Xenopus tropicalis: one gene and its partner. The protein of the gene in region 1 binds, or shares a complex with, the protein of each later gene. Links are inferred from orthologs where the notes say so. Each region holds a gene or a part of one and is shown on either strand. Other genes may lie near its edges.

The links.
Region 2: the proteins of gabbr2 (region 1) and kctd16 are in contact, whole or in part, in a crystal structure (PDB 6M8R), measured with the Homo sapiens proteins. The link is inferred for Xenopus tropicalis from reciprocal best matches to the Homo sapiens genes GABBR2 and KCTD16. Residues at the interface, in NP_005449.5 of Homo sapiens: Ile882, Asn883, Ile888, Gln889, Arg891, Leu892, Ser893, Leu894, Gln895, Leu896, Pro897, Ile898, Leu899; in NP_001357415.1 of Homo sapiens: Asn30, Gly32, Gly33, Gln34, Val35, Tyr36, Asp64, Leu65, Ala66, Lys67, Asp68, Ser69, Arg72, Phe74, Gly79, Phe80, Arg83.

Annotation. Positions count from the first base shown.
Region 1 is NC_030682.2:77,343,085-77,347,600, forward strand, and holds the end of gabbr2 (gamma-aminobutyric acid type B receptor subunit 2), read right to left. Parts: intron 2,694-4,516; coding exon 2,528-2,693; 3' UTR 809-2,527; downstream 1-808. UniProt on the Homo sapiens protein: Component of a heterodimeric G-protein coupled receptor for GABA, formed by GABBR1 and GABBR2. Within the heterodimeric GABA receptor, only GABBR1 seems to bind agonists, while GABBR2 mediates coupling to G proteins.
Region 2 is NC_030679.2:39,047,117-39,050,945, reverse strand, and holds part of kctd16 (BTB/POZ domain-containing protein KCTD16), read right to left. Parts: intron 661-3,829; coding exon 206-660; 3' UTR 1-205. UniProt on the Homo sapiens protein: Auxiliary subunit of GABA-B receptors that determine the pharmacology and kinetics of the receptor response. Increases agonist potency and markedly alter the G-protein signaling of the receptors by accelerating onset and promoting desensitization.

The DNA of each region.
Region 1 (4,516 bases):
CCTATAAGTGGCTCTTTGCAGCCCTAACATGAGAGCAACCTAAGAAAAGGTTATCTCCCTATCTAATTTTAGAAATTCTGTGAAATGTTGAAGCTAACCAATAGGAAAATGTTTCTTGGTTGGCCTATAGTTCAGTACCAAGCTACTGGCGTTTTTATTTCGTCGCTAGTGAAGAACATGCTCTAAACTTATATAATAAGTCTATTTAATGCTTGAACTCCTCGTTAGTGCATAGCAATAAGGTGTGAACAGTGTTCTCACTTTACATATTACTTTACTTTTCAGTACCTTTTTTCCTTCCTTGAGGCATCTATATATGTGGTCCACTAAATGCTTTATGTAAAAATATTACAGTGTATTTTAGTTATTCAGTCATAATACCACTAAGATCCATATTATTTCTTGTGCCCAGATCCATATTTTCTCACAATTGTGCGAATTCAGGAGGTAACAGTAGGCAAAGGTCAAACTATTTTTATAGCTGAGGGAAAGATATATTTCACCAAGTTGTAACCACAATAAAGAACAGCTGTAACAAAGTCAGTGGAACAGAATTCTTATTGGCTTCTGATATACATTTTGTTTCTTGTATACCAAGGTAGAATCATTTATTTAGATCACTGTAAATTATGTTTATACATTGTACATATACATGTGCCTGAGAACTAGTTGGTCCATTGTATTTTTGGGAGCAAAATCACACGTAGATTGTATATATTTTAACCATGGCATTGGGTGCATTCATAAGATTTTTTTTTTTTGTAAAGGATAATCCAAATGAAGTGTAAACAAAATTTTAAAATTGTCATTTTTTTTTTATAATGTTTATTCACAAACTACCATTTTTACAGGTACTAATTTTAACTTTTCCAAAAATGCAATTTCCGTGACACATAAAAAAATGCAGCCCCCATTTTATCTTTCATAGATTTAGGAATTGTGTTCAAATAAGAAGTATAAAGCATTGTAAATGAACACTGCAATCAATTAATTTGAATGGCTTTTGGCTAATTATTAAAATAATAGCATTGCCTATAGATGATAGTGATTTTTGTTGCCCATTCTAAAAGAATGATAGTGGAAAGTCATGCAATTTTGTGACAGGCTGTTTGCTCAGAAAACCATGATGGAAATGGTTTTCTTACATACAGGTACTTATACATACTTGTATCAGCCCAAACACCTGTTGGATATATGTATGTTGATTTTTTTTTAATGTTACTGTTTTAAACAGGTTCCTTAAAACAATTAACAAGTGAAAGGGTTTCAGAATGGAAGATGATCTACCCCTGAGATATACTTTCACATTATGCCAAAACATATTATTTATTTCTTGGCTATGTATCGTTTTTCTATTATCCTGTCTGCCTGCATTCAGCAAATCTCCTCAGATCTCCATCTTGTCTTTCATATGTCACAAATTTAGAAAATTTACTTTCAAACCCACTTAATTGTTGGAAAATTATACAAAATTCTCAGGGGTTGGCTAAATGCACAGTAAAAAGAATTTAACACATTACCGGCTCAAAGCTTTATAGCTCCTAATGTGCCTAAAGAACCGGAATCTGTTATAACATTGGTTTTATTGTAGTTTTTTTAAGTGTGGCACTGTATAGAACAAATTAAATACAATAACTGTGACAAATCATCCATCATGTGACATTTAAGCTATGTACTAGTTCTCAAACCTGCATTTCAATTAAGTCTGTGCATTTCTTAAAAAGAAAAAAAATTACAGAGAGTAAAACATTGTCCCAAATGGCGAGCAGTGAAACAGAGCTGTTCCCAAATTCTGCGAAGTGCTGTGCTGCAAATTGTTCTTGCTCAGTACAATAAAACCTTGGTTACCTAACAGCTCCATGCTGCTTCTGAAACTACAGTGTCAAAACAGTATAGTTCAGTTACAGGCACAAAACCTTGGTAATACTGCATGTCTCACTGACACCTGAGGGATCTTTAATAAGGATGCGTTTTCCCCACTGTGTATAGTCTTAGATGTGACACACTAGCAGGATAAATCTGTATGGAATGCGTTGATCATATCTGTGCAAACCCGTGTACAATTTTCTGCAAATGATTTCTATCTGTGCCATTTTCCTTTTTGATGATTTTTTTAAAAGATTTTTACATGTGTATAAAGTGTACTAACCATTGTTTATAGCAGCCATATATTTAGAATTGTAACTTGGGTTAAAAAGTTCATCTTCTGTAATTTGTTTTTCTTTTTGTGCAAGAATATAGGTTCTCTGCGCTTGATCTGATGCTCGCAGAGTTTTGGGAAGAATTCATCATTGTCCTCTGAGTAAAGAAATAAAAACTCCACAGATAAGGCTCCAGGTATGTCTTTATGCATCTCTCACTTCTCTCGCTCACGCTGGTTGATATTGGACTCTTGGAATTATGTCCCTAGACTGTATTCTCCTCTGTTTTAAGAGCAAATGTTTCATGTATAGCAAAGTTTTTGTTTGTGCAGTCTAGACCTTCTTGAGATTACAGAAGCAGTCCAAGAAGCCTGTGTTACCTATTCCTACAGGCCAGAGACCATGACTTGAAAAGAAGGTTGCACATGTCTATGTCGGGGACTGGCACTAGGACTTACACATGGGCTAGCACAGCTGGCATCAACACCACCTATTGATGGCAAGTAGGCATGATGTAGGATGGGTAGTTGTAAGGAGAGCCGTCTCTGTATACTATGAAGAAAATAGAATAAACATTAATTTTATTAAAACAGCAAGTGTCTATGGAGATTTTTCAAAATAATTTTCTTTTGAATGTTTCTATGGATTTTTTCACTCTTGAAATTTAATTTAGTTACAGATCCTATAGGTCAGGTTTTTTTATGCTGGTAGCTAAAAGCTATGGTACAAATACTGCTCTAAACACATTAATCTATTACATTATTTTAACAAATGCTTTTTGTTTAATCCCAAATGATTTCAACAGAATCTCTACAACTTCTTTTCCCATGCATTTTAGTCCATTGAGATAGCGTAATGATCTTTCTATAGGTTTACTTAACTTTTTCTTCCTTTATTTATATCTTAGAGTTTTTAAACCCTATGTATGACCTCTTGAAAGCCTGCTTCAACAGCAACCATTTTAGGATGATGACTATATTGTATTCAGCACAAAATACTAGAACTATGTAGTACTGTGACAAAAGTGAGCAATGATCCCGCTAAAGTGCAAAAATCTGTGCTTTCAGACAAATAGTACCTTAACACAAGCAACTTGCAATGGTAGTAAAAGGAAGAAATTTGAGAATTTGAGCCAAAGTGGCTAAGCAAAATGTTTGTCTACATAATAATAAATGTATTTTTTATGCAATACCAATTCTATAGCAGAATAAATATATTCTTCCTAGAAAAAACAATTTATCATTCTACAATAGTGATACAATCTGAATCAAATAAATAATTGTGAGCCTCAGGCATTTTAGTGTTTTCTTTTGACAATACAAATTTGTAAATGAAACTGATGAAAGCAAAGAGTGTATGGTAGCTATTAGATACATTTGAGTATCTTCAAGAAGTGTTTTGGGCCACAAATATCAACACTGAAATGTGATTATCAGTGTTGTAATAACTAGGGCTATAGAGCACATTTTGTGAAAATTAAATCAATTTTATGCACCTGCACCTGAATATTGATATTTTTCTATGGGGTGCCGTTTGTCCAAAGTACATTTTGTCTTTAAAAATACATTCTATATACAAAAAGCAATCCCCAGTAAACAGAATTAAAGTGTGGATATAAACATTGGTAAAAAATATACAAAAGATATATTTCTAGTGAAGAATGAGAACAAAATCAATTTTTATATTATTATATTACAAACTGTAATATCAATTTTAACAAGCATTCTGTCTCACAAATGTATAACATCCATATAAAAAAACAGTTATGTGTAAAGTTACTTACAGAATGAATAATGTAAAACAAAACTTCAACAAAATATATAAAGCTAAATAGCATATTCCAGCTAGATTTTCAGGACAGAATAGATGCGTGTGACAGAAAGCAAGATTCTATAGCGCAGAATTCATTCTATTAACAAAATGAATACTCAGTTCCACAAAACTGATAAAATATCCATTCTGTGAAACAACACAAATTCCTGAACCAATAAGAAACAAGCATATTCATTATCCAATAATATGCAGGTTTTAACTGGAGTCAATTTACTGGTCTTCCCACTGTTTTAATTTTTCTATAAAGTATTCACAAACACACACACACAAGGATTTTTTTTGTTGGATTTGTTTAACAATATGAAACGCTGCCAGCTCTGCCCCACAAGGCTACATTATCCCTAGTGCTGAGGAGACTATCTGGCCTGCTATAGAGGGTTATAGGTTACCAGAAGGTCTTTCAAATGGATGAGGAATATAGTGCTGTACTGATGCTGCGCCACAACACTGATGTAATGATGTTTCTAGGCATTTTGTTCCTGATAATGAGCGTTTAAGAAAACAAAACAAAACAAAAAAACATTAATATGATAACTTGAGGC
Region 2 (3,829 bases), on another chromosome or scaffold:
AAATGTAATACCCTGTAACTATGGTAACTCCTTTGGTGCTGGTCTTGCCTGTAATCCTTTCAAGGCCTATCCAACAGCAATGGGGTTAGGATGGAATACAATATGTATGTTAGGCAGTACTTTCAGTGGGCATGGTAATCTACCAAATAAACAATAGGCTTTATGTATCATAGAACTGTGTTTCAATAATAATTTCCCTCCCTTTCTATAGGTGATATTTTCGTAGTAGATCTTGTTGCCATGAAAATTTCCTCTCTGGGAATCTGTCTGGGATTTTGATCTTCATGAAATCCTGAATACACTTTTCCAGCTCTTCCTCAATGGAAAGCTTTTCTTTCATTACTTTTTTTTTGCTTGTGTTGGACTCTCTGGAGCCCGTTGTCAGAGTTCGCAAAAGGTCACTTTTCCGACGAATTTCAGACTGCTGGAGAATCTGCACTGGTCCTTTCTTGGCTGGTCGATCCAGAGTCTGTATGTTGGACTGACGAGTTACTGGCCCACAGATGACTGTCTCTTGAGGGGAGCTGGCTTCCGATTGGCTATCGCAACTTGAAGTGGAGAGTTCATTGCACGATGTTCCACTTTCTCCTTCTTTGTCCCCTTTGGGGTTCTTACAGCAGCAGTCACAGTGGTTTGATGATTGCCATTTGGAAGGCCCTCCTAAAATAAACCAATAACAACTATGTTAGTATTCTACTTTGTGTATTTAAGTAACAAAAATAACTTGTGATTCTATTTGTCATCTTTATTATATGTATTTAAAAGTGATATGCAAAAGAAGTTGAATGGTTATCAGTGCAATACTTTTCAATTTTTGGTCTACTAAGAAGCAGCCATATAGTTAAACAGAGGAAAGGCATAATAAAATTGTAAGGGTGAAAAGAAAACAAGTTGAACCTTTCCAAAACATTCTACTTATTTAACCAAAGGAAGACAAAGATCCCAGCAGCCCAGCTGGCAATTCAGCACCACAAAGCAAAAAAGAATTTGACCTCTAAATAGCAACTTGATTTCTCCCTAGAACAGTAAATAATGACTGCTTAACAAATACTTATGACCATTGTTTGCTACAAATGTACAGTACTGCATACCCTATCCTAACACAAACTCACAGAAAGAGAACAAGGGGGGTGCAGGATATGGTTCCAGTTGGTTTCTTCCCAGCATGATTGGTAGATATTGTTTTTCTAGGTCATTATTTAATACAGTATGTAATAGCAACACGGCAAGAGATGTAAGGCTTCTAAGTGCCCTCTTTGGCAATTTATACAACTTTAATGGAAGAAATGTGGATGTTGTATATGACCCATTACTTCACAGGTAACTGGCATCATCATTTTATTGGCTGTTTATCCAGTAAAGTCTTAGGATGGTTATTTACCAATGTTAGTATTTTTTCAGCTAAAAATCAAGAATTTATTAAATGAATAAAGGCTTTTTTTGAGGCTTGTACAAAAAAAATACAAAGATTACAGAAATACAAATGTTATTAAATTGCCCCCATATTATAATTCAGGTATTACATTGCTACCCTAGGGAAACCCTTTTAAAACCTCATGAATGGGCTGACATGGCCCAGTCAAATTCTCTATCTCTATCTCTAGATTTAATTTAAAGATTTGCTAGGAACCCATGCTTAGGATTGCTTTGCATACTCATTTCATGTATTGTACATCAGTCTAGTGGTTTCTTATTAATTAAGTTGGAATAAAGTGCAGACTTTTCCAAACAGCATATCCAAGTCATGGAGGTGGGAGCCATAGAGTCTGCTAGAGCCTTAGCCAGTGTCTTTCACAGGCCCAAAGTAAGTCTTGTTCTATATAAAGCTGCAAAAGAATCAATAATGGCTAAACAGAAACTTATCTAATTCGTACCTTAGGAAAGACTGCTCAGTAACACTGTACAGCTGGCTATGTGAATTTTCAAGAACTTTATTCATGAAGGCTATTGATTTATGTGTATATTGGCTAGATTCCTAAGTGCTTGCCCTATTTGTGTGCTTTTCTTTCCTTTCTGCTTCATTTACCCTTTCTCATCAAATAAAAGGAAGCTGTTACTGTTACACTGCATTTGTTAAAAGTAAAATCTGTAAATTGAATATTTTCACTTCATGGGTTTGCAACCTCTGGAGGAAAAGGTCTTGAATGACTCTGCAACACTAACAAATTCCCCCAGTTTGTTGAATTATACATACAGTGTGTAGCACAACAAATTTCCACAATATATTGCATACAAAATATCATAACTGTGCATTCATTTTCCTTAAAGCGGACCTGTCACCTTAAGAAATAATTTTAAATTGTTTTCTATTGTGTTTGGCAAGCAAAATAAACTTTACTTACACTGTATAAATTATTTTAATCTTATTATCTTCAGCCATGGAATTCACAATTGCAGCAAGCAGGCAGGGGCCATTTTGTGGACACTGTTATCAAAGCAGGCATTGCATCCTGCCAATATCTTGTTTCTGTGCCAGTATGGGGGGACCCGATGCCCATGTCCATGCACTGGTTACACAGTTACATGGTGAGGAGGGAGGGGGAATGTGAGGGGTGCAGCAACATCTAAGAAGTTCTGAATTGAAAATTAAAGTAACTGTCTGCCCCACCTCTATGCCTAAGGCATAGAGGCGGGGCAGGCATTATATGATTGACAGCTGGGATTTTAAAATGCTTTTATAATGGGTATGGATGTGGTAATAAAAAAAATATTTTGAGCTTTATGTTTAATTTGAAAAGGACTTTTATTATACAGCTTTTTATGTCTGGGTGACAGGTCCACTTTAACTTCATTATCTCATTACAGTTAGTCTATGAGCAACCACCAGTACCTATTGGGCTTATGGTAATGAATTTGGGGTTTACTAAAGTTTGCACATCTGTGCACAGCCAATAAGAATAAAAATAAGTTTGAAAATATAACATAAGAAAAAGTTTTATTTCTTAAATGAAGACAAGGATGAGTAAAAGCAGCGGTGATAGCTGTTTGTTCTTGTCTACTAAAAATAGAATAGTCAACACACACTTGCATTAGCACTGCACTCAAGAATGTATGTTCCTCAGCAAACAATGGGCTAGATATCATGATCTGTGCCTGTGAAAGTAATAAAAGTATTTTTATTTTCTAGTTGAGGTGCTGCTCTCACAATATTCTTCTAGCTTCCAAGCTAGATACCTGGGTCAGTACATTAAACACTCCAGCACACAGCTATGATGCAGGATGGGTTTATTTGTGTCAAGCCAAAGAATCACAACATTTCAGGGGTGGGTGCTTACATCCAGTAGGAAGGGTTATCTACATGTTTAGTGGGGTAGCTGTCCATCTTTCCTTCCTAGCACCAAGGAAGATTAATTAGAGAGGCCACGCATGCATGTAATTCTCCTTCCGAAGTTGTATATCTGAGCCAGGACCTTAGCAGATGACTCCAGGGTAAGATGGCAGCTAACTGGCCTTGGCCAAGATAGCTTTTCTGACCAATATCTTCCTGGGGATCAGTTAGATATCTAATGGGTAGGTCTAAAAAGAATCCAGTTGTCTGCTTAGGCCACTGTTACAATCTAATAATTGGGTATTTTGATCACAATGTGCAGATGCATGGCTAAAACTGAAATGTGTTAAATATTAATGTGGGATTTTAAAGTTCAGCAGTGTATGATATAAAAATATTTACCTATATGTCACCATTTATTTACCTATAAAATAAGCTGGAATCGCCCTCCTATAGCCAATTTAAAACATTACTTCTGGAACGAGATGTAGATATTGAAGCTCCACCCAGATATGGGCGTAGTTATAAGAGCTACACACAGGTTGGGCAGATGTAGGAGGA